4 linked regions of the Mus musculus genome follow. The protein of the gene in region 4 purifies or fractionates together with the protein of the main gene of each other region. This does not show direct contact. Links are inferred from orthologs where the notes say so. Each region holds a gene or a part of one and is shown on either strand. Other genes may lie near its edges. The genes, in order: Caprin1, Trim25, Atxn2l and G3bp2.

Region 1 (7,001 bases), on a different chromosome or scaffold from region 4:
TGAGCATTCAAATATATGAGCTGATGGGAGCTGCCACAATGCCTCTGTAATAGAATATCAGAGATTGGACAATCTGTAATGAAGAAAAATGTATTTCTCTGAGACACTGGAAGTTCAAGACCAAGGCATTGGCATTTGGTGCGGGTCTATCACAAGATAGAAGAGGGAAGAACAAAGAGTGTGATCCTATTTCCACGAACAGTTGTCATAGCAACAATAACTAGTTCATCAGGGTGGTGCTCTTTGGACCCAAGTAATTGGTTAAAGACTTTATCTCTCAGCACTTGAATTTAGGTCTTTAAATTTCCAATACAGGAATACTAGGTATGAGGTTACACAGAAACCATACTAACCAAGTGGGAGATACTTGGCTTAGGTCAGCACTTTAAGCTTGATGGACCCTTCTTTCTCCTTCTCACACTTCCTATTCTTTTTTTTTTTTTTTTTTTTTTTTTTTAAAGATTTATTTATTTTTACTATATGTAAGTACACTGTAGCTGCTTTCAGACACTCCAGAAGAGGGTGCCAGATCTCATTACAGATGGTTGTGAGCCACCATGTGGTTGCTGGGATTTGAACTTTGGACCTTCGGAAGAGCAGTCGGGTGCTCTTACCCACTGAGCCATCTCACCAGCCCCTTCCTATTCTTTATACAGTTTACTTTTTAAAAAGATGTTATGCAGTTAATTTACTCTGATCCTTTGATATATTTTTCACAATAAGTAGATATCTTTTTTATTTTGTATCAAATGGTAGCTTTAGCTTAGTTCTAATCTACCTTATTCATACCTTCGCTACTTAAGTTGATATGTCTCTCATATTTATTATAAAAGAAGACTTTGGGCTAGGGAGATTGCTGAGTTGGTTAAAGTGAGGACCTGAATTAGATCCCAAGAACCCATATGCAAGCCAGGTGTGGAGGCACTTGGTTATAATCTCAGCTCTAAGGAGATGAAGAAAGGCAGATCTCTGGGGCCAGGGAGAGACCCTGTCTCAAAAAGGTACCTGAGGTGTATGGTATCTAAGGAAGGATGTCTGATATCTTCCTGCCTCCAGATGTATGTGTTTGCATGTGTCCACATGTGTACATGTTGTATGCACACTGAAGCACATGCAGTTACTTCTTTTGGATAGATATTTTTGTTTTTGTTTTTTCTTCACATTCCTACTTCTCTTCCTGTTTGTGCCTCCAGCTACCTATGAAAGACCTTCCTCATTTAAACTACTTCTCCCAACATTGAAAAGCTCATCCATTTCAGTAGACGACATTTCCACCTTGTAAGCTTACTTGCCCATCCTAAATTAGACTTTAGCCCTGTTTATATGTTTATTGCTGTAATATCATTTACCTCCTCTGCTGCCAATATAAACTGTTATTAAAATGTTCATTATTTCTTCATTCCTCTCTTTAAGTTTTAAAAATTTTAAAAAGATTTCTGTTTTATGGGTATTTTTCCTACATGTGTGTCTATATACCACATGTGTGCATATCTTTGGAGACCAGAAAAAGGCTCAGATTCCCTGGAACTGGAATTAATTGTACTGTTGGGAATACATACTATGGATGCTGGGAATTGAACATGGGTCCTCTAGAAGAGTAGCCAGTGCTCTTTGAACCCTGAGCCAACTCTGCAATCCCCAAACTATAGGTTTTGTATGTCTATCTCCATTTTGTTTTTTGTGTCAGTTTATCTTAATTAAGCTGGAGATGGTTGGAAAGGATGAAAGAAAACAGTGCCATGACTCTTAAAAAGACCTTTCTCTATCCCTAAGCTGATGCTAATATGGAAGAGAAGGAAAGAAATACTTGACTTTGATGCTGTCCTTTTAGCCTTTTAAGGGAAAAGATGGGGGAACTGAGGGGAAAAAAAGACATCCTTCATTGAACTTACATGGTCTCCTTTTCTTTGTCAGTATTCTTCATTCATGAAGACCTTTTTTTTTTTTTTTTTTTTTTTTGGTTTTTCGAGACAGGGTTTCTCTGTATAGCCCTGGCTGCCCTGAAACTCACTTTGTAGACCAGGCTAGCCTCGAACTCAGAAATCCGCCTGCCTCTACCTCCCGAGTGCTAGGATTAAAGGCGTGTGCCACCACGCCCGGCTTATGAAGACAATTTTATTTATTATTTTTCAAGTTCTGAACTCCTTTCTGATGTCATGAGTGATGTTTGCCGCAAGGAGTCAGTGGTGGATGTTTGGCTTGTTCTTGCATAGAATGTTCTTAAGTTGGACACTGTCTTGGGTTTATGTTCTTTGACAGATTCAGAAAACAATAAAGAAGACAGCACGTCGGGAACAGCTTATGAGAGAAGAAGCAGAACAGAAGCGCTTAAAAACTGTACTTGAGTTACAGTATGTATTGGATAAGCTGGGAGATGATGATGTGAGAACAGATCTGAAACAAGGTTTGAGTGGAGTGCCAATATTGTCTGAGGAGGAGTTGTCATTGCTGGATGAGTTCTACAAGCTCGTAGATCCTGAGCGTGACATGAGTTTAAGGTATGATGGTGTCTGGGAACAGAATCTTAAGAAATATTGCTCATTGGCAGTTGGAAGGTAGTTAATGTTTTCTTTGTTATTGCAAGGTTAAATGAGCAGTATGAACATGCCTCAATTCACTTGTGGGATTTGCTGGAAGGGAAAGAAAAGCCTGTGTGTGGAACAACCTGTGAGTATCACAGATAATTCTGAGTTTATAGCTAGGAATCTTTAAAATACTTTTCTGTTTAAGGCATTTTGCAAGTATATAAACAACAGTTTGCATTTATTTTTATGCATTCTTTTTTTGGCATGCCTTAGTGACATTCTTTGTTGCTTTTTATACTTGATACCTTCTTGGGACAAGATTTGTAGATGGCTTTTCTTCTGCCATGAAATACTTATTGCTTATCCTGTCAGCTTGTACAGCAGTTATACCAGGGAAGTTATAGAGCCTCAGCCTAAGTCCAGTCTGTTACGTTTTATTGTGTAATTTTGTTAATTTTTTATCTTGATATCCCTTCTGGTAGACTAAAATTAGTGAGCATGTACTGCCTTTTTATATTGTTTTAATTGACTATTTTTAAAGATTATTTATAAGCTGGGTGTGGTGGTGTGCACCTTTAATCCCAGCACTTGGGAGGCAAAGGCAGAGGATCTCTTGTTTGAGGCCAGCCTGGTCTACAGTCAGTTGGAGTAAAGCCAGAACTACACAGAATCACCGTCCTAAAAACTAGAGAGAGAGAGATTTATTTCTAATTATTTGTGTGTGTTGTGTGTGTGTATCTATATGAATATACATATATTGTGTGTGTTGTGTGTGTGTGTATCTATATGAATATACATGTGAGTACAGGTATCTGAGAAGACCGTTAGAGAGCATCAGATCCCTTGGATCTGCAGTTAGATGTTTGGGAGCCAACCCATGTGAACTTTGCTCTTCTAATCCCTGAACCTCTTCTCTAGTGCCCACCACATGCTAACACATACAGTATGCTCAACACAAGTTTTTATTGAGTGAATAATCTTAGGTTTATTCCCTCCTTATTTGCTTAGTATAGTAGTTTAGATAGATTCCTTTTTCATTCCTATCATATTGTAATTTGTTTTATGTATGTGTGTGTGTGGTTGTTTTACTAACATGACTACGTTTTCTTACTGCTTTTGTAGAATATTAATTTTTTTCAAATTTTTATTAAAATTTTTTTTCAAATCAAATTGTCAGTGTAACATTGTATTCTCCATTTTTTTAGATAAAGCTCTAAAGGAAATTGTTGAGCGTGTTTTCCAGTCAAACTACTTTGATAGCACTCACAATCATCAAAATGGGTTGTGTGAGGAGGAAGAGGCGGCTTCAGCGCCCACAGTGGAGGACCAGGTAGCTGAAGCTGGTGAGTATTTGGGTGGATATAAGGATTAGTTTTGGTTCTGGCCTTAGTTTCTTTTTCCTTTCTCATTCATATGTATGTATATATGTAAAATCTGTATACTCAAATACCCTTTGAACATGGCAAAGTACATTCAGCAATCTGAAGTATTCAGAACCCATCATGTATCTTACAGGCCTTGATCACAGGTAAATTAGTAACTCTCTTGCCTACTTAGTATTGTTGGATAAGGAGTATGGGTTAGGGGCAGTTGTAAGGATTTTTGTCTGACTTGTTTTACTTCTCACCATACCAACATATAGTATGATAACTATATTGGAAGCATATATATGGAACTTCTAGAGATCTGTCTGCCTCTGCCTACTGAGTGTTAAGTTACATTTCTTCTTTAAGGCTGTGTATAGAACTCTATGGCTTGAACTGTAAACTCCTTATCCGCTAGGGAGTTTTGCAGTTGATGTTTAGCATCTTAATGAAACACAGGTGTGACTAGACAGCCTGAGTACTTTCATAATTAATAAGTTGATGAATAAAATTGAAAACAGATACTACAAAAATTTTGTGATATTTTATAAAGTATAAGTTCAGAGCTGGATTGCTTAAGGTAAAAACATACAACACCAGCTATCTAACTTGGGGTAATTACTGCAAACTTTTAAAGCCCAAGTTTCCATTTAGTGTGTGAGGGGTGTATTCAGTAAGGCACATGGTACTCACTACTATCGGAGTGCTACTATGCTGAAGCCAGAAGGGAAGACTGCTTATTGGTGGAATATAGGTAAAGCATTTTACTAAGTGTTAGTTAAGTTTAAAGGTGTGCATCAAGTTGGGCATAGTGGCACATGCCTTTACAGTCTCAGTACACAGGAGGCAGAGGTAGGAAGAGCTCCTGAGTGTGTGGCCTGTCTGCTCTACAGAGTGAGTTTCTCCAATTTAGAAGGTTTTTATTTTCATCATGCCTGCCATAGGAAACTACTGTTAATGCTGAAATGACTCCTTCATTCTGGAACCAAGTAAAGAAACTTAGAAGTGTAGTTACTGACTATAAAAATGGGAAAGGAGAAGAATTTATCAGTAATATATTCTGATTATGTGATTGTATAATGATAATGTCACTTTAGTGTTTAAGTAGAATTGATACCATTAAAACACTCACTTATATGTGGGTATCATTTACAAGCAGAATTTTCTTTTTCTGTTGTTTGTTTTCAAGACAGGGTTTCTCTGTGTAATAACCCTGGCTGTTTTAGAACTCACTTTGAAGTCTAGCCTGGCCTCAAACTCACAGAGATCCTCCTGCTTCTGCCTCCCGAGTGCTGGGATTCAAGGCTTGTGCCACCATCAGACTGGCTGCAGACTTTTTTCTTAAAAAGCAGTTTTAGGTTCATAGTTAAATGAACATAAGAGGGGTTAAGAACACTGTTTACTCCTGCTGAGGACCAGGGTTTGATTTTAGCAATCTACAGAATGGCTCTCAACTGTCTGTAAGGGCATTTGCCACCCTCTTCTGGCCTGTGTGGACACACTACGAATGCCTGGTACACAGGCATGCATATATGCATAACATCATTTATATAACAAAGTTTTTTAATTGCTACCCATCTTTCCTTTTCAATTGTATAGCTTCCTTATTGCAGCATTCCTGTTAGAGGTGCATTTGTTACAGTTGATAAGCCTAATATATTTTCACCTAAGTGTGTATGTGTGTGTTTCCCCTTTGGTTTCTTGTACATTCTGTAGATTTTCTACGGTTTTAATTTCCTTGACCTAAATAAATCTTTTCTGCTCTATTTCCTTTTTAACTTTAGAACCTGAGCCAGCGGAAGAATACACAGAGCAAAGTGAGGTTGAATCAACAGAGGTATGATTTCTTAAAAGAGTTTAGTACTGCCTTCACTTTTCTACCTTCCCAGCAGATACCACAGTGTGTGCCTTTTCTTCTTAGTATGTCAATAGGCAGTTCATGGCAGAAACACAGTTCAGCAGTGGTGAGAAGGAGCAAGTGGATGAGTGGACAGTTGAAACAGTTGAGGTAAAAGTTCTTTTGACTTTAGTGATTTCTACCTGTCCTGAGGGGAAAAAATAGGTGGTTGGTTTTTTTAATTGACACAATGATTATAATAAATACATATCACATAATTAATATTTAATGTTTGGGAAGCAGTCATGAAAATAGTATTTTCTTTTTTCTCTATTTTAGGTTGTAAACTCACTCCAGCAGCAACCTCAGGCTGCGTCCCCTTCAGTCCCAGAGCCCCACTCTTTGACTCCAGTGGCTCAGTCAGATCCACTTGTGAGAAGGCAGCGTGTACAAGATCTTATGGCACAAATGCAAGGGCCCTATAATTTCATACAGGTAGGTATATTTTAGTAAAGCACCATTGATAGTAAATTTAAATGTATGTTGTTTGATGTAATTCAGTTATATCCTGACTTGTAGGATTCAATGTTGGATTTTGAAAATCAGACGCTTGATCCTGCCATTGTATCCGCACAGCCTATGAACCCTACCCAGAACATGGATATGCCTCAGCTGGTTTGCCCTCAGGGTTAGTAATGATGATTTTAAAAGTTAATTTTTTTAGAAAAAAAAATTGTGTGTTCATGTATTTTCATATTTGGCATATGTATGTTGTCTGAACAACTTAGTACACGAGTACCCGGTCTCCTCCTATGTGGTTTCCGAGGAGCAAACTTGTGTCATTAGGCTTGGTGGGGCATGCTGCTTTTTTGTACATTCTGGACCACCTTCCACAGTCTGTTTTTAGCCCCTCCTAGCTCAGCAATATTTTTTATGAGAGGGAATAGAAGATGCAGTATAATCTTCAGAGGTTTTGAAAGTTAATTTTGCTCATTTTTAATGCTTTATTTTGAGTCTTGAATTTGATGTGATATCTTGTCTACTTTTATCATTTCTTGTAACATTTTTATTGGCATAGATAAATAGAATTGATGACTTCTCAAGCTGAACACAGCAGCATCTAAATGTACAGTTACCAGTGCTGTAGAGATCTACACACTATGTATGGTTTTTTTTTTTCCAGTTATGAATTACCCTCTTCACCTCCATGTAACAACCACTCTGTTCTGATACTTTTTTTTTTTAAAGATTTATTTATTTTATATAAATACACTG
Region 2 (7,001 bases), on a different chromosome or scaffold from region 4:
TATTGCTTGTCAGCCAAGGTCAAGGGTCTGGCCTGCCATTTTAGGATAACTGGAAAGTTCCCGAAGGGGTTATGAGGGAAACACGGTGACATCTATATCCTATAAAACCTCCCTGGCTATAAGAGCGGGCATGGGGGGGACCTTGTAGGAAGCTAGCATGGGCATGGAGCAAGTGATGATCAGGCAGCAGGCAGCTGGTGTTTCACCAGGCTCAGTGGGCAGGGTCAGAAGTGAAAGGAAATATTTGACAGCTAGGTGTGCTGGTTTACACCAGTAATGCCAGTACTTGGGAGGTGACAGATGGCCTGGGCTACCTAGATAGATCTTGTTTCAAAAAGCCAAGGGTTAATTAGGTACAGGGGTCTGTGGTGGGGTACTTGTCTAGCATACAATGGGACCAGTCCCCCCCCAGACCCCAGAATTGGGTGTTGGCAGTCAGTGGTGTGTGTGTGTGTGTGTGTGTGTGTGTGTGTGTGTGTGTGTGTGTAAAGCTGAGAAACATGATGGTGGTTGGGATGTGGAGGAAGGAATGCAAAGGAGTGGTAAGGAGGAATTTCACATTCCTCTGACCCTGAAGCTAGCCCTCTGTCCACCAAACACACTGGCAACCCAGAGTCTACTCAAAGCCCATCCATGTTGGCCTCCAGTGCCCATCAGAATAACAAAGCCTCAATCCTCTTTCTGGAAAAGTAGCTGTGACGTCAGGACAAAGCAGAGACGGTTTCAGGACCCTTGAAATTCAAGGGCCAATGTTCTGCTCATCGTCAGTGATGGATGTGTCACCGCTGTTACCTGAGCCATTGTGCTCCTCAGACTTCTTCTGTAGCTTCTTAATGGAGTGCTTCAGTTCACTCTTGAGGTCCGCCGCCCCTTGGTAGATTCCCATTATCAAATCATGATCCAGATCTATCTTAGGGATGTAGACTGGTTTTGTTGACTCTCCTTGCAATTTTGCAGCTTTCTGGAACAAGCCAAGGTGTGAAGCACAGGTGATTGGAGGAAAGCCAGGGTTTGGGATGCATCCTCATAGACCCCCCCCCCCACACACACTGATGGTTCCTATGGCAACAGTAAATCCAACTTCCTGCCTCAATCACACGGCCAAGGTTTCTGATCCTGAACCGAGCTGGAGTGCTCTTTTAAGAACTTTAAGAAGGGGGCTCAGACAAGGGCTTTGAATCCTTTCTCACGGAACACAGTAGTTTCTAGGCATAGGACTGAGCTCCCTGGAGTAGCAAAAAGCCTCCACCTGGGGCTGGAGAGATGGCTCAGCGGTTAAGAGCACTGACTGCTCTTCTGAAGGCCCCGAGTTCAATTCCCAGTAACCACATATCGTGGCTTACAACCATCCGCAATGAGATCTGATTCCCTCTTCTGGAGTGTCTGAAGACAGCTACAGTGTACTTACTTATATAATAAATAAATCTTAAAAAAAACAAAACAAAACAAAACCGCCACCTAAGTACCAGTAAGCATCACGAACAGGGTAAGTTCCACCATTCCCGTACTGAGCAGGGAATCTGGGTCCTTGGGGGACCAAACGAGGTAGTTCACGGAGATCTGGGCCGTGAACTAGACAGGTGAGGGAGAAGAGATAAGTGACAAGATATGGCTTATAGCCAACAAGCACATCTGAAATGACGTCATCAGTGCTACGGTGGTGGCGGTAGTTGGGGGGAGGCATAATCTGCAACACCAAAGGGAGTGACACAGTAAGATGCTCCCAAGAGTCCCCCATAACCATCCCCCCAAGTACAGGGCAGATGGAAAGGGCATTACTGCATGACAAACTACTAGGAACAGAGAGGGAACACCACCACAGGAACAATGAAGATCTTCAACCAGTCGAATTAATAGAAAGGGCGATTATCCTGGGTAGACCAGACTCAACGGGGTAAGAGGCCTTCAAGAGGAATGTTTCTGCTGGCTTAAGGCAAACACTGGTTGGCAAGCTGAAAGAAGGCCTCAGCTGACAGCCGGCAAGAAAATGTACACTTAATTATAGCCCCGAGGAACTAAGTAGCCAGGTGCTCTTGGAAACAAAACAACCCTGCGCTCCAAAATCAATACAGCCCAGCCTGCAGCTAGACTGCTGGTACTAGGGCAATAGCCCGGAAGCCACGCCCAGACGCTGAGCTGAGGGAACCAGATCATCATCAGAGGTTCTCTAAAGCCCCTGAACTCAGGTAAGCTATTGCAGAGTGTAGACATACAGTATGTCTCTGGGAGCTTTCCAAATTGACCTCTTAAAGCCCTGACTCTATGAGGTCCAGACTCCTATCAGCTCTGCAATGTTAGGCAGAACATGGGCAGAACACACACACACACAAACACACACACACACACACACACACACACACACACACACACACACACACACACACACACACAGAGCACCGGAGCCACAACTCACCTCCAGAAACTCAAACTCATCCCCTTTGTCCATAATGAGCTCAACCTCTGCCTTCAGTTTCTGCATCTCACTCTTCTTCTTGACGAGAACCTGGTAGATGGTGTCGAATTTTCCGTAGACTCTCTTCTCCTCCTCCTTTAACTTGCGCAAGGAGCTGGTCTCTGCTGCGTCGATGACAGCCTTCATTTCCATATACTCCTGTCTCAGCTGTTCCATCTTCCTCTTCATAGAATCCTACGAGGCCAAGATGAGGGGGCTCCTGTCAGACTGCTGATAACGCTAAGGTTGCACTCCTGTGTTGTGTGTGTTTGTGTGTGTGTATGTGTGTGTGTGTGTATGGAGCACCAGGAACTCTGTGACACTTCATGCTGCCACCCTGGGCAGCCACTTGGCAAAGTCCTGCTTGGAGGTGAACACACCCCAAGACCCAGCAACCCCAGTTCCTAGGAGGGTACTGTAACTACTTGCCCAGAGAAATACACATAGGAAGTTCACACGCGCCAGGCTGGTGGCAGTGCATGCCTTTCCTAACCCTTGGGGAGGCAGAGGCAGGCAGATATCTGAGTTCAAGGCCAGCATGGTATACAGAGTGAATTCCAGGATAGCCAGGGCTACACAGAGAAACCATGTCTCAAAACCCAGAATCGAACCAACCAAAGAAACAAACAGACAGAGTGTTAACAAGCAAAGCCCGGTGTGGTGACTCATAACTCTCATCCCAGCACTAGGGAGGCTGCGACAGGAGGATGAGAATTTCAAGGCCACCACTGGCTACACTATATACTTGAGGCCACCCCAGGCTACATACATGTGACCCTTGTCTCCAAATTGGGATGGTGGGAGAGGGGAGACGACTGTTCACAAGCAAATCTTTTGAAACAGTAAAAAGTGAGTTAGTCACATAATTTGTTATCACTCCAGTTCCTCCAGAGACTGAGGCAGGAGGGTCACTTGAGCCCAAGGATTTGTGGCTTTCCGGGAGCCATGAAACAATTTCAAACAAATTCCTAAAGATGATCAAAGACGACCATCCTTTAGAACTCTTTTCAGTGCTACATGTGGCTTCTGAGCATTTGAAACATGTCACGTCAGCTGGGCAGTGGTGGCACACACCTTTGATTCTAGTACTCTGGAGGCAGAGGCAGGAGGATCTCTGAGTTTGAGGCCAGCCTGGTCTACACAGCGTGTTCCAGGACAGCCAGGGCTACCCAAAGAAACACCATCTCAAAAAAAAATTAAAAAAAAAAAAAAAAAAAAAAAAAAAAAAAAAAAAAGGCCCATAACTTGTGAGTAGACAATGAATGGACGTCAAAGACTTAATACCCACCCCAAATTCCTTAATACTTTTTATTGAGCTAGAGTCAGCTCACTTGTAGAGCACTTGCCCGGCATGCACAAGGACCTAGGTCCATTCCCCAGTATCATCAAAGGAAAATTTATTGATAATACATTGAAATAACACTTTGGACACACTGAGATAAATAAGTTACATTACTAAAATTAGTTTCAGAGGTTGGGAGCATAGCTCAGTGGCAGAGTGTTTACCCAGCATGTGTGAGGTCATGGGTCCAAGGTTCAAGGCCTGCCACCACACATGTAATTCAAATTCGTTTTAAATTAATCAGAGGTGGTCAGGATGTTTCTGGTAGACAGTGTGGTTTCAATAGTATGTTTGGACAGCTTTCTTGAGTAACTTCAATAGTTCAGAATCAAACACGACAAACAAACAAAAACTATACAATGCACACCAAGAGAGTGGAATTCACCTTTTTAAAAATTGTTCGCTTTGGGGCTGGAGAGATGAGTCGGGTTAAGAGCACTGACTGACTGCTCTTTTCCAGAGGACCCAGGTTCAATTCTCAGCACCCACACAGCAGCTCACAACTGTCTGTCAGTCCAACGTCCGACACTGACACAGACACACATTCAAGCAAAACAATAATGCACATAAAATAAAAACAAATGAAAAAAAAAAAACCCTGTTAAATGTATTATTACTTTTGTTGTTGCTGCTGCTCTCAGGGTGTGCACACATCCTCAGGTGCACACGTGGAGGTCAGAGGACAACTTTCAGGAGTTGGTTCTCTTCTTCCATTGTGGGCCCTGGGATTGAACTCAAGTTTTCAGGCTTGTTCAGCAAGCACTTTTACCCACTGATCCATCTCACTGACCCTCAACTCTTTATCCACTGAGGTATCCTTTCAGAGTACCTCCTCTTGGGAACATTAATATCTTTCGGTGTCACTTCCTCCTTTTCTTTTTTCTTTTTGTTTGTTTTTTTGGTTTTTCGAGACAGGGTTTCTCTGTGTAGCCCTGGCTGTCCTGGAACTCACTTTGTAGACCAGGCTGGCCTCGAACTCAGAAATCTGCCTGCCTCTGCCTCCCGAGTGCTGGGATTAAAGGCGTGTCCGTCACTTCCTCCTTTTCTTTTTCTTTCTTCTTTAAGATTTATTTATTTATATGAGTACACTGTTGCTATCTTCAGACACACCATAAGAGAGCATTAGATCCTATTGCAGATGGTTGTAAGACACCATGTGGTTGCTGGGAATCAAACTCAGGACCTCTGGGAAAGCAGTCAATGCTCCTAACCACTAAGCCATCTCTCCAGCCCACTTCCTCCTTTTCTATTTAGTAAGGGAACACACAGGAGAGTCACCTGGTATACAGCTTTCTAGACTACATTTTCCAGGGTCCTCTGCAACTAGGCTTGGCCAGGGTGACTAAATTTCTTCCACTGAGGCAAGGCTAGAAGTAGTATGTGCAGCAAACATCACAGTGATTGCTTAAAAGGAAATTGCTTGTTGCCAGTCTCTTCCATCTTGTTCCTTTTTTTGAAAGCTAGAGAAAGCAGGTGAGGGTGACCTAGTGTCTGATCTATTGAGGTTACCCAAGAAGTTTGCTCAAGTGAATTTAGTCATCTTAGTCACAACTGCCAAATGAGTCTACACATACATCCCAAGCCCTACAGGCACATGTTAATAATAGTCCATCATCATCATCATCGGTCTTCAAAAATGTACTTAAATTAAGAGTGAAATCCTCAGGGCGCTAGAGAGAAAGATGGTGTAGTGGTTAAGAGCACTGGCTGTTGTTCCAGATATCCAGGGTTCGATACCCAGCACCCACATGGCAGTTCACAACTTTCTGTAACTCCAGTGCCAGAGGATCCGACACCCTCACACACACATACATGCAGCCAAAACATCAATGCATGTGAAATAAAAATTTAAAAAAAAAAAAAAAAAAGGAGAGAGACCATCTTGAGTTAGCCAGGTGAGCCCTGAGTCCAATAACAATGGTCTTATTGTAGATGGAAGAAAGGTACTGGCAAGACAGAAGCAGCAACAAGACAAGGAAGACCTGAAGCTTCCTCCTGGAAGCTGGAAGAGGTAGGAAGGATTCTCCCCAGAGGACGACGTGACAACAATGACAATATCATTATTTCATCATCATCGTCGTTGTAACCATCATCATTTCTTCTCCTCCTCCCTTCCTTCATCTTCCGCTTCCTCCTCCTTCCTAGATCAGGTCTCACTATGTAGGCCTGGCTAGCCCAGAACTCACAGAGATCCACCTGTCTCTAGTTCCTAAGTGCTGGAATGAAAAGTGTGCACCACCATGCCTTGGCGTATTCACTGACTCTTAATGTTTTATTTCCTGTCAGAGTGAAGGCGAGTACCACAGCAGGAATTTGGAGGTCAGAGGTCAACTCTGCAATGTCAGTTCCCACCTTCACTTGGATTCCCGGGATTGAACTTGGGGGTCAGGCTGCACAACAATCACAACTCAGCCATCTTTCTAAGCCTTTTACCCCTTCATTTTTAATGATTCTCCCAAGGCCGGGCTTGCAGGGAGTTTTTCTGATGAGCATTTATAAAGGCTATTTCTTGGACATAGAGCTTTCTGAATGCTTTGCAAGGCTATTTTTTTAAGGCAAGAGTTTCCTGCATTGGGGTGCACCACACCTTTAATACTTAGCACTTAGGACACAGAGGTAGGCAGATATCTCCGTGGATTCGAGTCCAGATTAATCCACACAGTGAGTTCCTTGAGAGCCAGGGCTAAATAGTGAGACCCTGACTCAAATACAAAATGAAACAAAAGCCAGGATTTCCTGTCCCCCTCCAGGCTGATCTGGAACTGACTATGGAACCAAAGGTGGCCTTGAACTTATAACCCCACTCTACCACAGTTTTGTTTGTTTGTTTGTTTTTGGGTTTTGTTTTGTTTTGTTTGTTTTTCGAGACAGGGTTTCTCTGTATAGCCCTGGCTGTCCTGGAACTCACTTTGTAAACCAGGCTGGCCTCGAACTCAGAAATCCACCTGCCTCTCGAGTGCTGGGATTAAAGGCATGCGCCACCATGCCCCGATTCTACCACAGTTTCTGTGGTATCAGGATGGAACCCAAGGCTTCAAGTGAGCTACCTAAGCACTCTGCTGACCACCCGATTCCCAGGCACGCCCAGGCCAAGTCCTCCCAGAAGAATGAGGGGGTTTGGAGTTAGAGTGGGGGAGGGTCACTCACCTGCACACACTGTTGCTTGGATCTCACATCCTCCAATGCTTTGGTTGCCCCATTGATGTG
Region 3 (7,801 bases), on a different chromosome or scaffold from region 4:
AAAAACACTAGGCAACAACTGTTTCATTCAGAGATCTGCCTTACTAAATAAACAGTAAGCCCCCACACAAGCTCTACACACCAGCCACCCAACTTCACCACCCTCAAACTTCCAAAATGCTTACGTGTAAGAAGATAGACTGCTGTCATAGGTGGTCTTCACTCCATAGTTCTCCTCATTAAATTTGAACATCTCATTGGGATCCCATCCATTAGACTAAGAGAACACAAAGAATGTTTAAAACTCAGCAAAAAAAAGGAAAAATGGCATGCCATTTCCTCTCCACCATGTTAAAAACTTCAACTCCTGTACAAACTATACACACTGACATGCATTCAGTGACAAGATTTGTTTATGAGAAATGATCCTCCTGTTTCCACATTCTAAACTCTGCAATTACAGGTGCTATCATGGCTCTCTATATACATGCGTTGGCTTAAAAATAAATAAAAAATAAAAATAAAAAACCCTCGGGGGGCTGGAGAGATGGCTCAGTGATTAAGAGACTGACTGCTCTTCTGAAGGTCCTGAGTTCAAATCCTAACAACCACATGGTGGCGGCTCACAACCATCCGTAATGTGGACCTGTTCCTGTGGGATTGTAGGTATGTGAAAGTCTGAGGACGATCTGCGAGAATCTGTTCCTTTTCACCACTTGGCTTGGTGGCAAGCACCTTTATCTGACCCACCTTGTCAGACTAATTTAGAACTCTAAGCTCATCGAAGAAACAGAATGAAGAAGCATGGATATATACAATAGTCCTCCTATACACCTCCATTTCTCTCCTCTGCTTTTCTTTAAAGACTTTTTGTTATGTAGCCCAGATTGTCCAGGACTTCACAATTCTTCTGCTACAACTTCCCCAAGGCTGGATTAGAGGTATGGGTTATACTATGCCCACCTTATACTTTTTACTACAATTACAAGTGCTGCCACGGAGAAACTTTAATGGTTTTCAATGCAGAGGATGGGAAAACTGACCAAGAACAACCTCAAAACAAAAGTGAACAAACATAGCCCAACAGAAAATAATGAACGTCCACATCAGCAACCCATGTTGACCACAACTCAGCCCGCCTGTTCTCAGGAAGGGAGAACATACCATATCGGATTCCAGATCGTAGTCGTCACTGTTGCTGTCACCGCCCTCCCAACGTTGAAGCACCTTCTCTTTGTGTTCTCCATTCACCTTAGAGTTCATGGCAATGGCTGAGTCAGTGAACTTATCTGTTGGCAGAGGGGAGCAACAGAGTCAGGTGATGGGCCCACTTCTCATCCTTACTCCCCACCCCATGCAGTTTAACAAAATGAAACTAAGAAACACCAGATTTAGTTTATGGGAGCAGGGAGAACTATTGAAACAGGTCTATCTAGATGGGGTGGTGAATGCTGGTAATGCGAGCACTCAGAAGCAGAGGCAATTTGATCTCTGCCAGTCTAAGGAGGCTAGCCATATATACAAAGACCCTTCCTTCCTCAACAGAAAAACAAAGCCCCAATCTAATCTAAAAGCTAAACTTGAAAACATGAAAAAAGGAGTACCTACACCGCTAGACACATTCACTCGACTCTATCAGGCATCAAGCTATGTGCTCAAGAACTCAAGTCACCTCTACTGAAAAGTAAATCAAGTCAACGTGTTCAACCTGCGGGCTAGCTCTCGTCAGCTTCTTGACACAACAGTTCAGAGCGATACCTTTAGTAGCATAATTGAAGTCAACATTTCGGAAGTGGACAAGCAGAACGTCGCTTGGTTTAAACACCATGGTGTCCACAATGTCTTCCCGGCGAGGCCCACCTGCTGGCTCAGATGCTTTCCGATGCACCGCGTCAACTGCCAGTTCAAACTACAAAAGCCCCAGTCCAACATGGCAGGGTCAGTATCAGAGGGAGAAGATGGATTCGCTCTTAAAGCTTTCTAGTCTTTCAACGTCAAATGCCCATGTCACTCTGTATTTCCCAATGTCAACCAGAGAACTTAGCAAAAGCCTCAAAACTGCCCGCTGTCACCCAACACACACTCTCAATCTCACTCTCCTTCACAGCTTCAGAAATTCCTAATTTGAGTACACTGACCTTTGAGCTCAGAGTCTTGAAAATGCCCTCGTAAGTGGTGCCATTTTTCACCTTTACGTCACAAGTAGAACCCTAGCAAGGTGAACCATTTAGTCATTTTAAGAAACTGAAACAGCATATTCCTCAGACACCCAGGTTAAAGCTGTTACTTACCACTACAGCTGTCAGGAAATGCAGCATCCTGGAATTGTTATAGACACCTTCAAACACCTGTCACACGAGAAAAAAGTAAAGGGCAGCAGGTGAATACTCTCTTCTCAGATTGTCCCACACTGTCTGTCTTCCGAGTGTCTTTACAGGAGGAAAAGAAGGCACTCACGGGTGACTGTGGGGGTCCCTTTCCGGTGGTCTGTCCCCTATTAAAAAAGAAAGAGAGAAATAGTTTTAATTAGTAGTGAACCCTAGACCAATGTACCAGGTCAACTTGCTGATTTAGGCTATAGACTGATTAACAAGCAAGACTTTTCAAGTTCTCACATTAAAGAAGAAAGTAGGCATTAACTGCTAAAACATTTTCTCCGAATTCAAGATTTTAAAAAAGTCAACAAAATATTCAATAAACAATAGCTGTCAAATGTTCCTAACAGTCAGTGCAATACAACCTGACTTCCTCTAAGGGACAGTCCTTCACTCTTCCGATAAACCACTGCTATAGTATTAAACCAACAGCACACTTCAGCTGTGAAGGCGAAAGCCCGGGCATCCCAAACGCAGCACCTCTGAGCTTAGACACATTACCTCCCAAAGGAAAAAAAGCTTTCAGGAGCCTTGGATTCCAAATCCCAGGAGAAGTATATTCTCCACACCCCACCCTTTCGCCCTCATTATTTTCATTCAGCCTGTTACCCACTCTGAAGGGATCCCCAAACGCCAGGTAACACAGCTCCTCGACGGCTGATGTAACCGGCAGTTGAGGAGGGCGAGGAGGGGGCCGTTGGCTGGGCTGGGGGACCGCGCAGCCGCAAAAACCATCCACCGGGATGCCTCGCCCGGTCTGCGCCTGCGCACTACAGCCCATCGCGCTCCACCACCCGCTCTAGAACAGAAGCCACTGCGCCTGCGTCCAGTGCCTCTTTCTATCGCATTGACACACCGAGAAAAACCGAGGGCACCCACTCCCCACTCACCGACACCAAACGCCCCTAAACCCTCCAAATAACCCCTCCCTCCTCCGCCTCTGCTCTACGTGTTACCGGGGCAAGCCAATGCCCGAGTCATAAGACAGCATCCGCGCGCACGTACGCCCGGGGAGCGCGCGCGCAGGAGCTTCCCAGCCCGCAGTCTTCCCAGTAGCCGCTGCTTCCGCGCCCCCGCCCACCCCGTCCCCCTCTCACTGGCTACACCGGGAAGAGGAGGGAACAATCCGCTCCCAAGTCCCTCCCTCCCCATTGGCCAAACTGTGGGCCGCGCGCCCCCCCCCCATTGGCTACAGTCGGGGACCCCTTCATGCAGCTGACTCCCCATTGGCTGAAGCCGGGGACCGCGAGATCCTTCGTGGTAATGGAGCTAGGGACCCCATCACCTCCTCAACCCCCCCAACACCCTTTGCCGACGGAGCTGGCGGGATGCGCCCCGCCTCCCCTCAGGGCCCAGACCCCCAAGAGGTGACTAGGCCCAGAGAGCCGAGCGCTGCCCCCAGGCTCCTGGAGACCTCCCGGAGAGCTTTCTCTCCGACCTGTTGGCACGAGGGTCCACCCCCTCCTTCACGGGGTCCTGGGCCCCCAAGAGCCCCCTCAACAGCTCCAAGCCGGGGCGCTGCCTCCCGGGCTCTCCCTAGCCAGGAAGCCCCGTCCTCACCTGACGCTGCCGATAGCCACTGCCCCTGGCCTTTCTTGATGCTGCGGCGGCGCTGACGCCGCTAAGATGCTTTCGGCTCCGCGGCGAAGTCCGCTGCCGGCAGCGGCTGCAGGCCCCAGGCACGGAGAGACCGCTGCGGGAGGCCCCGGGGGAGCCGCGGTGGCGGTCAGCGGTCCCGGGAGGCCGCCGTTGGGAGGGCTGGTCCCGCCGGGAGACCGGCGAGCCACGGCCTGTTGCGTGGGGGGCGGCTGCTGGGGTTGGGAGGTCTGTTGTGGCGGCTGAGGCTTCAACATGATGGCAGCGTCCGGAAGAGAAATAAGAGGGAAGGGAAAGAGGGCCTGGGGCCGGGCCCCTGCTGGAGAGCGCGGGAAGCGAAAGAGATCGCCAAGCAGGGGACCCGCCGTTGGCGGGCGGGGGGAGCCCCGCGGTGTCAGGGGTGGATCGAGAAGACGGCGGCGCGAGGAAGCGCCGCGAGGCGGAAGGGGAGGGGGGATCTCGCGGGCCGGTGGACAGCGAGAGGGCGCGAGCCGGCCTGGCGCGCGTGCGCGTCGCTGGAGAAGGAGAGGGAGGAGCGCGGGCGGAAGCGCCGGCGGGGGAGGGGCGCGGGGAGCGCCGCCAGGCGGTTAGTTCCGGAACAGAGGAGAGGCTCGAGCCGTGGCTCCGACCGGCCTAGCCCCTGGGGCGGAAAAGGAGCCGCGCAGGCGCTTAGCGCACCTCTAGGTTCTGAGCCACCTTAAATGCTGGCGGCCGCGGTTGCTTCACAACGAGGGTGGGCGGGGCCAAAGCCGGGAAGGGGAAGTGCCGGCGGACCCGCCCCTCCCACGCCGCCAGCGTAACGTCAGAAAGTCTCCGCGGTGGTGTGAGGTGTCACGTCGTAGCGTGAGGTTCTTCCGCCACTGGGTGACCGGTGGGCGGAGTCTCGGGAGCAAGAGAAAAAAAAAAATCCCTAGGACTGGAAAAACCTAGTACAGGTAACTTAAGGCAGGTGGGTTTTTAAAGGTGCTGCTCTCCATCTTAACTGCTTTAAAATATTAATGAGCGTCAGAATGACTATTCTGAGCATATGTGCATCCCAACAAATGTGCCCAATTCTAAATTGAAATTCAGTGATTCTTTCAGGGAGAGCGACCCCCTGAACAGTAGCAATACAAGCCGTCTGAAAGCCAGACTGACTAAGAGTATATTACAGAATCCAGCTGCATAGCAAGACACGGTTAGAAAACCGTGGTATAGTGCTTGCCTATTAAGGCAGCCCTCATTCAAAATTAGGGCAGCTATGGTGCTTCAGAACTTTAATTCCAGTACTAGGAAGGGAAGGTAGGAGGATCAAAAGTTTGAGGCTATCCTGCATTGTATAATAAATATCAGGTCAGCTGGGCAGACCCTGTTTCAAAAGGAAAAGTTGATGGAAAAGTCCATGCTTTGGGTAACTAAGCCACTCAAAGCTCAAGCTAGTGGAAGATTTATATAATTTGAGCAAAGGTACTTGGTAAAACACAGAGGGCAGGAAAATGGATTTCTATACAGACGAAATGGATCTGACAGGACATACGAAAAAATGGAGCTTGATTGGAGCCTGAAATCCTCACTCTATAGCTGTAGCTGGCTTTTAACTCCTTGTGTATACCATGGTGGTCTTAAAACTCACAGAGATCTGTCTGCCTTCTGAGTGCTATGATTCAGACATAAATCAGCACAGCCAGACTTTGTCATGGAATGTTAACCTAAAATCCCTTTATTGATAACATAATCCAAAAATTAAATCTAGGATTGGGTAGACACTAAGAAATTGAATATAGCAGTACAGATGAGTCCAAATCTACACTTCAGATTAATAACCCATCATAAGCGGAAAAATGGAATTAATTTAAAGTCATCCTCAAATATTTAGTCTGAGGCCAGTGGGTCAGGTGAGAGTCGGCATACACTTCCTAAAAAGTATAGGAGCAGGGGAAAGATAAATAGGTCATTTGGTAGCAGTGTACAAAATAAAAATGTATGTGTGGGTGGTTTGCCTTGCAGGTATGTTGGTGTAGAGTGTGTGTGTGTGTGTATGTGTGTTGGTCTTGAAGGCCAGAAGCAGGTATCCGGTCCCAGGGACTGGAGTTAACAGTGATAAGAAGCCATGCAATTGTGTTGCTGAGAATCAAAGCCAAGTCCTCTGGAACTGAGCCATCTCTCCAGCTCCCAGATTTTTAAATTTTATCGTAGGCATGTGTGTGCTTGAGTGCATTATGCATACCATGTAGGTTGCTAGTGGAAAACTGACTTCCAGGCAGCTAGGGTGAGGGTCTTAAAGCCCACACCCACAGTGACTATTCCACCTATTCCAACAAGGCCACACCTCCAAATAGTGCCACTCCCTGGGCCAAGCATATTCAAACCATGACAAATGTGTATTGTTTTCCAGAGAACCTGGGTTCAATTCCCAGAACCCATGTCAGACAGCTCATAATTGCCTGCAACTCAAGCGCCAGAGGGTTTACTGCCTCTGTTTTTTATAGGTACCTACAAACTTGGCATCAACTCACACAGACAGACACATGGATGATTGAAAATAAAATCTTAAAAAAAAAAAAAAAGAAAAGAAAATCTTTAAGGAAAACCCCTTCAAGCCAGGCAGTGGTGGCACATGCCTTTAATCCCAGCACTTGGGAGGCAGAGGCAGGTGCATTTCTTGAGTTCGAGGCCAGCTTGGTCTATAGAGTGAGTTCCAGGACAGTTGTGGCTATACAGAGAAACCCTGTCTCGAAAAACAAAAAAAAGACCTCTTGAGTTTCATTGACGTGTTAGGCAAGCAGGACCCACACTCTCCATTTACCGCCTGCTGCCGTTGTTCCCTATGAGCATTTGAATTTGAAATCTGTTTTTAAAATTGAGACAGGGTCCGGGCGTGGTGGTGCACGCCTTTAATCCCAGCACTCAGGAGGCAGAGGCAGGCGGATTTCTGAGTTCAAGGCCAGCCTGGTCTACAGAGTGAGTTCTGGGACAGCCAGGGCTACACAGAGAAACCCTGTCTCAAAAAAAAAAAAAATTGAGACAGGGCCTGGTACAGCCACCACTTGCTCCACTCAGTTAAGACTTGGTAGAGACAAAGGACCATTGATCTCCAAGGACATACTTCTTTCTGTTCTGCTCTGATGCCCTCCTTGGGCCATATCCAGGTCACTCAGGCTGTGTGATAAGTGGTTTTAGCTGAGTTTGTCCTGTCTAGATGCCACTCTCTTTGCTTGTCTTAGGTAAGGCATATGGGCTCATTGTGTTGAATGCTGGGATTGCTAGTCAGATACAATTTTTAAGCAGCTGGTGCCCAGTGCTGCTCCTTGTGGTTGTGGCTAGTCTCATCCTGTAGCCTCCAGTGGTCTTAACTCTCCATTTTATTTACTCTTATTTTATGTGTATGAGAATTTTCTCTGTGTGTATATTTGTGTACTGCATACACAGGTGGTACCTTCAGAGGCCAGAAGAGGGTGTCATATATCCTAGGACTGTGATTACAGGCTGTTGTGTGTTACTATATGGGTGCTGAGAATAAACCTGGTTTCCTTTTAGGAACATCAAGCATTCTCAACAGCTGATCCATCTCTCTAATCCTTCTATCCCCTTCCCCCACACCCTTTATTGCTATGTAACCTAGGATACCCTGGAACTCTCAAGAGATCTGTCTGCCCTTGTCTCCCAGGTGATGGGATATGTGCTTTTATCCCAGCCCTCAGGAGGCAGATCTCTGTGTGTCCCAGGCTGTTCAGGATACATAGCAAGACCCTGTCAAAAACAAAAAGTAACTGAAATAAAATAAAAACTTCCCAACTTGGAAGAGGGAAGATTTTGTATATCAACTAACACAGCCTACTAGCGGAACCTTTTAGGTTGGGGAAGCCCTAAGGTCTGTTGCTGTCCTACATCAGGTAGCATGGAACTCTGCAA
Region 4 (7,001 bases):
TACCCATCACTGTGTGTACATTTTCCTCACAACCCAAAAAGGTCAACCATTTGCTTTTCTGCATTAATTTGAATTCAGTCCAGAAACTACGTATTACAACAGACCACCCATAAACTACTATCACCTCTATACAAGAAGTCCTAATGCGTCTTGATACTGTGTTTAGTCTGGTGGTGTACAGCTCTTCCCCCCCTTCATTTCTCTGGCTGGCTCAGTTGGTAGAGCTTGAGACTTAAATCTCAGGGTTGCAGGTTTGAGTTCTGTTGGGGGTCAGATGTAAAAGTAACTTTTATACGCTTGATACCTTCCTCTGTCTGCTAACGTAGGCCTTGTCCTGGAAGCGTCTCGTCTCCATACAACCTAACCTAGGCCTAAATTGGTTTCAGCCTCTGAGACTTGCTGCTGAATAAGTTCACCCCTTCCTAGTTCTTCCTGAACTCTGGCTGGCTAATTCGACTCAGAAACGTCTCTCCAAGCGACTGACTCAAACTGACTTCTCTCTCAGCCTCTCTCGAATTGCTCTGCTTGGTCTCATTCTAACTCTGGCAATCTGTTCTAATCTGGTTCCTTCTCACTCTCTGGCTCATGCTGTCTTCTCCTGTGTTTAGCTTGTTCTCTCTTCAGCCTGTCTCTGTAGAACTCTCCTGGTAAACCTGCTCCTCTCTGCACTGCCCCTTAAGTAGCTTCCTTTTCCTTTCTTTTCACAAGAGCTGGGCAGATCCTGTTCTGTCAAATCTTTCTCTAATTTGTCACTTTGTCTGCCACTCAATTTGACTTCACTTTCAAACATGGGTGCTTTTTTCTACAACCTAACTCTACCTTCATCGTTTGGGATTAAAGGTGTGTACTAAGGGCATGTCTGTATTCCTGCCAAAGGGATTAAAAGTGGCTGAGCCATGCTGTACTGGCTAGTTTTGTGTCAACTTGACACAGCTGTAGTTATCACAGAGAAAGGAGCTTCAGGTGAGGAAATGCCTCCATGAGACCCAACTGTAAGGCATTTTCTCAATTAGTGATCAAGGGGGAAAGGCCCCTTGTGGGTGGTGCTATCTCTGGGCTGGTAGTCTCGATTCTATAAGAGAGCAGGCTGAGCAAGCCAGGGGAAGCAAGCCAGTAAAGAACATCCCTCCATGACCTCTGCATCAGCTCCTGCTCCCTGACCTGCTTGAGTTCCAGTCCTGACTTCCTTTAGTGATGAACAGCAGTATGGAAGTGTAAGCTGAATAAACCCTTTCCTCCCCAACTGCTTCTTGGCCATGATGTTTGTGCAGGAATAGAAACCCTGACTAAGACACACGCCATAATTAAAAACAGGTTTTGTTTTTTTGTTTTTCTTTTTTTTTACTAACACAATCTTGGGGCTCACAGTGTAATCGAATATCCTGTGATCAAATATCCTGCAACAGTACCAGACCACCATTCTCAAACTGTTACCAACTTCCTTTTGATCTTTTTTTACTTTACTATCTAATTTTACTTTATTATGATGTTTGCTGATGCTATTTTTCTATGTCCAGTTTCTTCCTGTTTGCTAAGGACCAAGCCTGGAGTCCAACTGAAGCCCCAAACCCTCTACCGTCCTCTCTTCCCATCAAGATCAGTTATTTCATACATTCCTGTAACATGTAAAATATGCTTTCTCAACTATATGTATAAAGCAGTCCATGCTCTCCTTTTGAAAACATCTCAATATACAGTTCTACTAAAACTATAGCAAAAGATCTAAAAACACCTAATGAAAGGCTACATTTTTAAAGCCATCTTAATTCTAAGACATTTTGAAAATACGTTAATTTGTGACTTACATTTTGGCCATAAACTGCTTCCTGGGGCTTTCCACTGGCATCCACTCCACCATGAACATAGGAGGAATTCCTGCCATAGAACCTGCAAAGTCATCAACAATTAAAAATACTGCCACTGAAGGGTCAAGAAAGCTTAAGACCCACTGATAATCAACAGATAAAGGGGTCCTTAGTCACGAACAGGACAGTGACTACTACCCAGAGTTGATGTACAGACTAAATAAGTCACTGCCCATAGACCCCTCAGGACAGCCATGTAACAAGGAACATGCTCAAGGAGCTAGCCTCCCTCTCTGTTGTCAATCTTCTTATTAAAATTGAAAGAAGGAGTTCAGGTGCATCCTAAATATTTAGTAATCTAGTAACTTATTGATCAAATTTTTTTTCTTCAGATAAAAAAACTTGGGCTGGGGAGATGGCTCAGTGGGTTAAGAGCACTGACTGCTCTTCTGAAGGTCCTGAGTTCAAATCCCATCAACCACATGGTGGCTGACAACCATCTGTAATGAGATCTGACGCCCTCTTCTGGTGTGTCTGAAGACAGCTACAGTGTACTTCTTTGTAATAATAATCATGTCGAAAGAAAGAAAGAAAGAAAGAAAGAAAGAAAGAAAGAAAGAAAGAAAGGAAAGAAAGACAGACAGACCTCAAGTTGTCTAGATTTACTGAAAATCAAATGTCCCATTTAATACTCTCTTCAGGATCTCCAAGTGGTTACTAACTCCACAGGCTTACAGCTTACAAATTTCAAATAATCAAAAAGAATCCAAGCTGGGCAGTGGTTGCACACGCCTTTAATCCCAGCACTTGGGAGGCAAAGGCAGGAGGATTTCTGAGTTTGAGGCCAGCCTGGTCTACAGAGTGAGCTCTAGGACAGACAGGGCGACACAGAGAAACCCTGTCTCGAAAAACCAAAAAAGAATTCAAAGACCAAGTAAAAGTCTACAACCATCTCAACATTGACTTTCCTTATTCAAGTTATTAAGTACATAATTTATGTTCTCCAGAGCTAGTCAAACATGTCAGAACTTCCCCTGTGCCAAACAGTATTTTCAGTGACATATACCGATCCTTTTGATCCTAACAACTTCATAAATAGTGCTACTATTTGAATGTATACAGAAGTTAAGAAATCCACATAACCAGCTCCCACCACTTGACATGTCACTCCGGCTCCAGCCGGAATCTGACCCTTCAGCATGCACACATGTGCATGCCTACACAAAACACACACACTTAAAACCTAAGAAAGAGGTGACAACTCTTCAGGGAAGTTACTCTAAGAATATAATTAACTAAAGCATATTAAAAGTGCTGAGGAGAAAAATATTAAAAACTTTATTCAGGCTTTTTAGATTTGTATGAATGTTTTGCCTGAATGTATGTTGTACACCATGTATGCCTAATACCGGCAGAGATCAGAAGAAAACACAATATCCTGTGACACTAGAGTTACAGATGGTCTTGAGTCAAAATGTGGGTGTTGGACTCAAACCCAAGCTTCTCCAAGACCAACAATGCTTCTTACTGCTGACTCATCTTCCAACCCCTCGGTGAAAAACTTAAAAGCATCAACATTTTTATTAGAGGAAAAAGTGTTTAAATTAAGCTAGATATAATATGGAAGCTGTACCATCTTAAGACTTTTAAAAATTATTTTGTGACTATTCATGTACAGATGTGTTTGTGTGGAGACCAGAGGAATCTCTTCCACCTTTATGAGTGCTCCATCCAGGTCGTAAGTCTTTCCTGGAAAATCCCTTACCCACTGTGTCATGTTGCTGACCTCAAAGTTATACTGTTAACAATATAGCTACACTACTAGTTGAGACTTTGTTAGCCAGGTGGTAGTGGTGAATCCCAGCACTCAGGAGACAGTTCAAGAACTCTGATTCTGAGGTCAGCCTGGTCTAGAGTGAGTTACAGCCAGGGTTACACAGAGAAACACCGATGGCTGTCAGCTGTCAAATATGAGAAATAGATGGTTAAAGTGCCTACATTATAACCAGCATAAAGTTTACATGGGGAGAAAAATCATCCCCAGAAAGGGAACCCAGAAAACAGTAAATACAAACCTCTCCTATAATACAGAAGAGACAGGAGAAACACATGTCCAACAGTACACCTAAAAAAATCTAATTCCAGAGAGCTTACCTAAGATGTACACTGAGTCAGTACTAGCCTTTCTGAGGGGAGTAACAAAGGATGGACAGCAACCTGAAGAACTCAGCTTTCAAAAGTCTCACCCTCCCTCCACTTGCTCAAGGACTCCTTCCACCCAGAATAGGACTATACGTATGCTACACATACTTCATTCCAACTTCTGGAAACATTAAGCTTATGGATGTTCAACTCTTGCCAAAATAGTGATAGCATCTTCCAAGTAATACTGCTTTTCACATGAGAACACAGAGCCTTCACAGGTCAGGTGTGTGGCAGCATTTCTCAACAATATGAGAACTTCAAAAGATAAAGTCATTGATTTCTAATCACTCATTGGAACCTTGTAATGAGTCAAGCTCCACATTAGTATAATGACACATGAAATACTGAGGAGTTTTGTGTGTGTGTGTGTGTGTGTGTGTGTGTGTGTGAGAGAGAGAGAGAGAGAGAGAGAGAGAGAGAGAGAGAGAGAGAGAGAGAGAAAGAGAGAGACAGAGAGAGACAGAGACCAAATGTGTTATGGCACTAAGATATGACATGTTGTTCCTGTTTGCAAAGATACTATCAACATATAAAGAGACAGAACTGACAATAAAATGTGGCCATATCCAAAGAATTCAAAGAAATGTCTAAATTTTACCTGTGCAAATACTCGGGAGCTTTATTCAGCAAAGTATAATATTGCCTCACAAACTCCCGCCCCACAAGCAGCGGACTGGGCTTCTCCATAACCATTTCTTTGCTGCACAATGTCAAATGCTGGAGGAGAAAACACAAGACAAATAGCTACTAAGTCATCCTTGCAAAATACCACAAAATAAATCTTCTTAGATATATAACTGAGAATAAAGCAAATTAACACCATTTATTAAAAATGAATCACAGAAAAATTAATTTCTGGCCTAGTGGGATGGTACAGCAGCTAGGAGCCTGTTCTAACAGAGGACCCAGGTTCAACTCCCAGCATATTAAGGCACACGACCCAAGCCGGGCATGGTGGCACATGCCTTTAATCCCAGCACTAGGGAGGCAGAGGCAGGCGAATTTCTGAGTTCAAGGCCAGCCTGGTCTACAGAGTGAGTTCCAGGACAGCCAGGGCTACACAGAGAAACCCTGTCTCGAACCACCCCACCCCCACCCCGCAAAAGGCACACGCAACTGGAGTTACAAGGATCTGCTTGCCTCTTCTGACATCTCCTTGGGCACCAGACATAGACATAATGCAGACACATATGCAGAGAAAACACCCATACAAATGGAAAAACTAGCTTGGCTAAATACAACTCATTAATTACTTGATACACATAGCCCTCCAAGTAGTCTAATTATAGCCAACACAAAGAATAAGGAGCAGCAGGCTATATAAAGGGCTCATAAATGCCTATAACTCCAGTTCCAGGGGAACTGAACCTCTAACCCCAAAGTACTCATGTACATATCCACACATGGATACCCAATTACAGATGATTAAAAACTTATCTTGGAGTGAGACGACAGCAGCTAAAAAGCACTTCTTATTGTTCTCACAGAGGACCAAGATTCAGTTTCCCAGAACCTCCAAGGTAGTTTACAACTGTGTTCTAAGAAACCAGACACCAAGCAAACAAGTGGTGCAGCATATACCTACAAGCAGGCATACACTAAACACACACACATATATACACACACACACACACACGCACGCACGCACGCACGCACGCACGCTCAGAAAAAGGAGGAAGGTGGGAAGGGCCAGTGGGATGGCTTAAGAGATAAAGGCATTAGCCGGGCGTGGTGGCGCGCGCCTTTAATCCCAGGCGCTCTGGAGGCAGAGGCAGGTGGACTTCTGAGTTCAAGGCCAGCATGTTCTACAAACTGAGTTCTACGACAGCCAGAGCTATACAGAGAAACCCTGTCTCAAAAAAACAAAACAAAACAAAACAAAAAGAGAGAGAGAGAGAGAGAGAGAGATATAAAGGCGTTTGCCCGACCCAACCTTAATTCCTCAGGACCACATAGTAGAGAAAACAGACTTCCATAGTTTGTCTTCTGACCTCCACTTCTGTCCAAAACTCTTTTTTTAGTAAGATGGCTTTACTATCTAATCAGTACAGTAACTCCAAGAAATAGTCCTAGGTTCAGTTCTAAGTACCAAAAACTGTGTATAGATCAACAGACACACACAAGCACATTTTGTCTTAAAAGGATGTGTGATGGGGCTGGCGAGATGGCTCAGCAGGTAAGAGCACTGACTGCTCTTCTGAAGGTTCTGAGTTCAAATCCCAGCAACCACATGGTGGGTCACAACCACCCATAATGAAACCTGACGACCTCTTCTGGTGCATCTGAAGACAGCTACAGTGTACTTAATTATAATAATAAATAAATGTAAAAAAGAAAAAAAAGGATGTGTGACTTTATTTTTATTCACATGCATGTTTGTGTCCAAAGCAACCAGAAGAGGGTGTCACATTCAAGCCCTGGACCATGGATCACAGGCACAGTGAATCATTCTATGTGAGTAGCAAGGGAATGAACTTGGGGCCCAACCCAAAAGTACTTTAAAGTACTTGGGGGTGGGGACACAAAACAAAAACCAAACACACATCTTAGCGTGGATCAGACAAATCAAAATACTACCAGAACAGCTATTTTAACACATTTCAATGAAGGTTTTCTTTAAGCAACTAAATAATTTCACAGCCAAAGACATCCATAGCCATCTAATACAATGTGGTATTTTTCCTAACTGTCAGGTAGGTACTAAGGTGAAGCACAAAGGTTGAGTGCTGTCCTAGGGACCAGAGTGTTACCTGGTGTTCGCTTAGTTGTTTCTTCCTTTGGAATTGTCCTTCTAGACTTTCTAATGACTCAAATCTACTTCAATTTTTATATGGCGTATCACTTGCTTTCAAAAACAACTCATGAAGCAGATGTGAACAGTGCATTACAGATGCCACTATCTTCCTCCAATACAACTTTTCAGAGGCTGACAACCCCTAAGCAGAAAGACTCATTGCTTAAGCTACGACAATGGGCTGGCAAACAAGTGAA

The links.
Region 1: the proteins of G3bp2 (region 4) and Caprin1 purify together in Homo sapiens (affinity purification with mass spectrometry; 5 studies listed by BioGRID and IntAct, with this or other methods). This does not show direct contact. The link is inferred for Mus musculus from reciprocal best matches to the Homo sapiens genes G3BP2 and CAPRIN1.
Region 2: the proteins of G3bp2 (region 4) and Trim25 purify together in Homo sapiens (affinity purification with mass spectrometry; 4 studies listed by BioGRID and IntAct, counting the BioPlex papers as one, with this or other methods). This does not show direct contact. The link is inferred for Mus musculus from reciprocal best matches to the Homo sapiens genes G3BP2 and TRIM25.
Region 3: the proteins of G3bp2 (region 4) and Atxn2l purify together in Homo sapiens (affinity purification with mass spectrometry; 4 studies listed by BioGRID and IntAct, counting the BioPlex papers as one, with this or other methods). This does not show direct contact. The link is inferred for Mus musculus from reciprocal best matches to the Homo sapiens genes G3BP2 and ATXN2L.

What each region holds. Positions count from the first base shown.
Region 1 is NC_000068.7:103,774,830-103,781,830, reverse strand, and holds part of Caprin1 (caprin-1), read left to right. Parts: intron 1-2,259; coding exon 2,260-2,498; intron 2,499-2,584; coding exon 2,585-2,667; intron 2,668-3,730; coding exon 3,731-3,868; intron 3,869-5,673; coding exon 5,674-5,726; intron 5,727-5,810; coding exon 5,811-5,897; intron 5,898-6,065; coding exon 6,066-6,221; intron 6,222-6,305; coding exon 6,306-6,414; intron 6,415-7,001. UniProt on the Homo sapiens protein: mRNA-binding protein that acts as a regulator of mRNAs transport, translation and/or stability, and which is involved in neurogenesis, synaptic plasticity in neurons and cell proliferation and migration in multiple cell types.
Region 2 is NC_000077.6:89,004,765-89,011,765, reverse strand, and holds part of Trim25 (E3 ubiquitin/ISG15 ligase TRIM25), read right to left. Parts: coding exon 6,942-7,001; intron 2,648-6,941; coding exon 2,414-2,647; intron 962-2,413; coding exon 793-961; intron 1-792.
Region 3 is NC_000073.6:126,499,026-126,506,826, forward strand, and holds the start of Atxn2l (ataxin-2-like protein), read right to left. Parts: upstream 4,413-7,801; 5' UTR 4,168-4,412; coding exon 3,875-4,167; intron 3,575-3,874; exon of another isoform or gene 3,306-3,574; coding exon of another isoform or gene 3,271-3,305; exon of another isoform or gene 3,205-3,270; intron 3,076-3,204; exon of another isoform or gene 3,050-3,075; coding exon of another isoform or gene 2,928-3,049; intron 2,434-2,927; coding exon 2,397-2,433; intron 2,288-2,396; coding exon 2,231-2,287; intron 2,150-2,230; coding exon 2,078-2,149; intron 1,849-2,077; coding exon 1,698-1,848; intron 1,229-1,697; coding exon 1,104-1,228; intron 217-1,103; coding exon 125-216; intron 1-124. UniProt on the Homo sapiens protein: Involved in the regulation of stress granule and P-body formation.
Region 4 is NC_000071.6:92,068,552-92,075,552, forward strand, and holds part of G3bp2 (ras GTPase-activating protein-binding protein 2), read right to left. Parts: intron 6,187-7,001; coding exon of another isoform or gene 6,175-6,186; intron 4,728-6,174; 5' UTR 4,704-4,727; coding exon 4,609-4,703; intron 1,888-4,608; coding exon 1,806-1,887; intron 1-1,805. Other genes in the region: uncharacterized protein Gm46933, read left to right, coding at 6,175-6,186.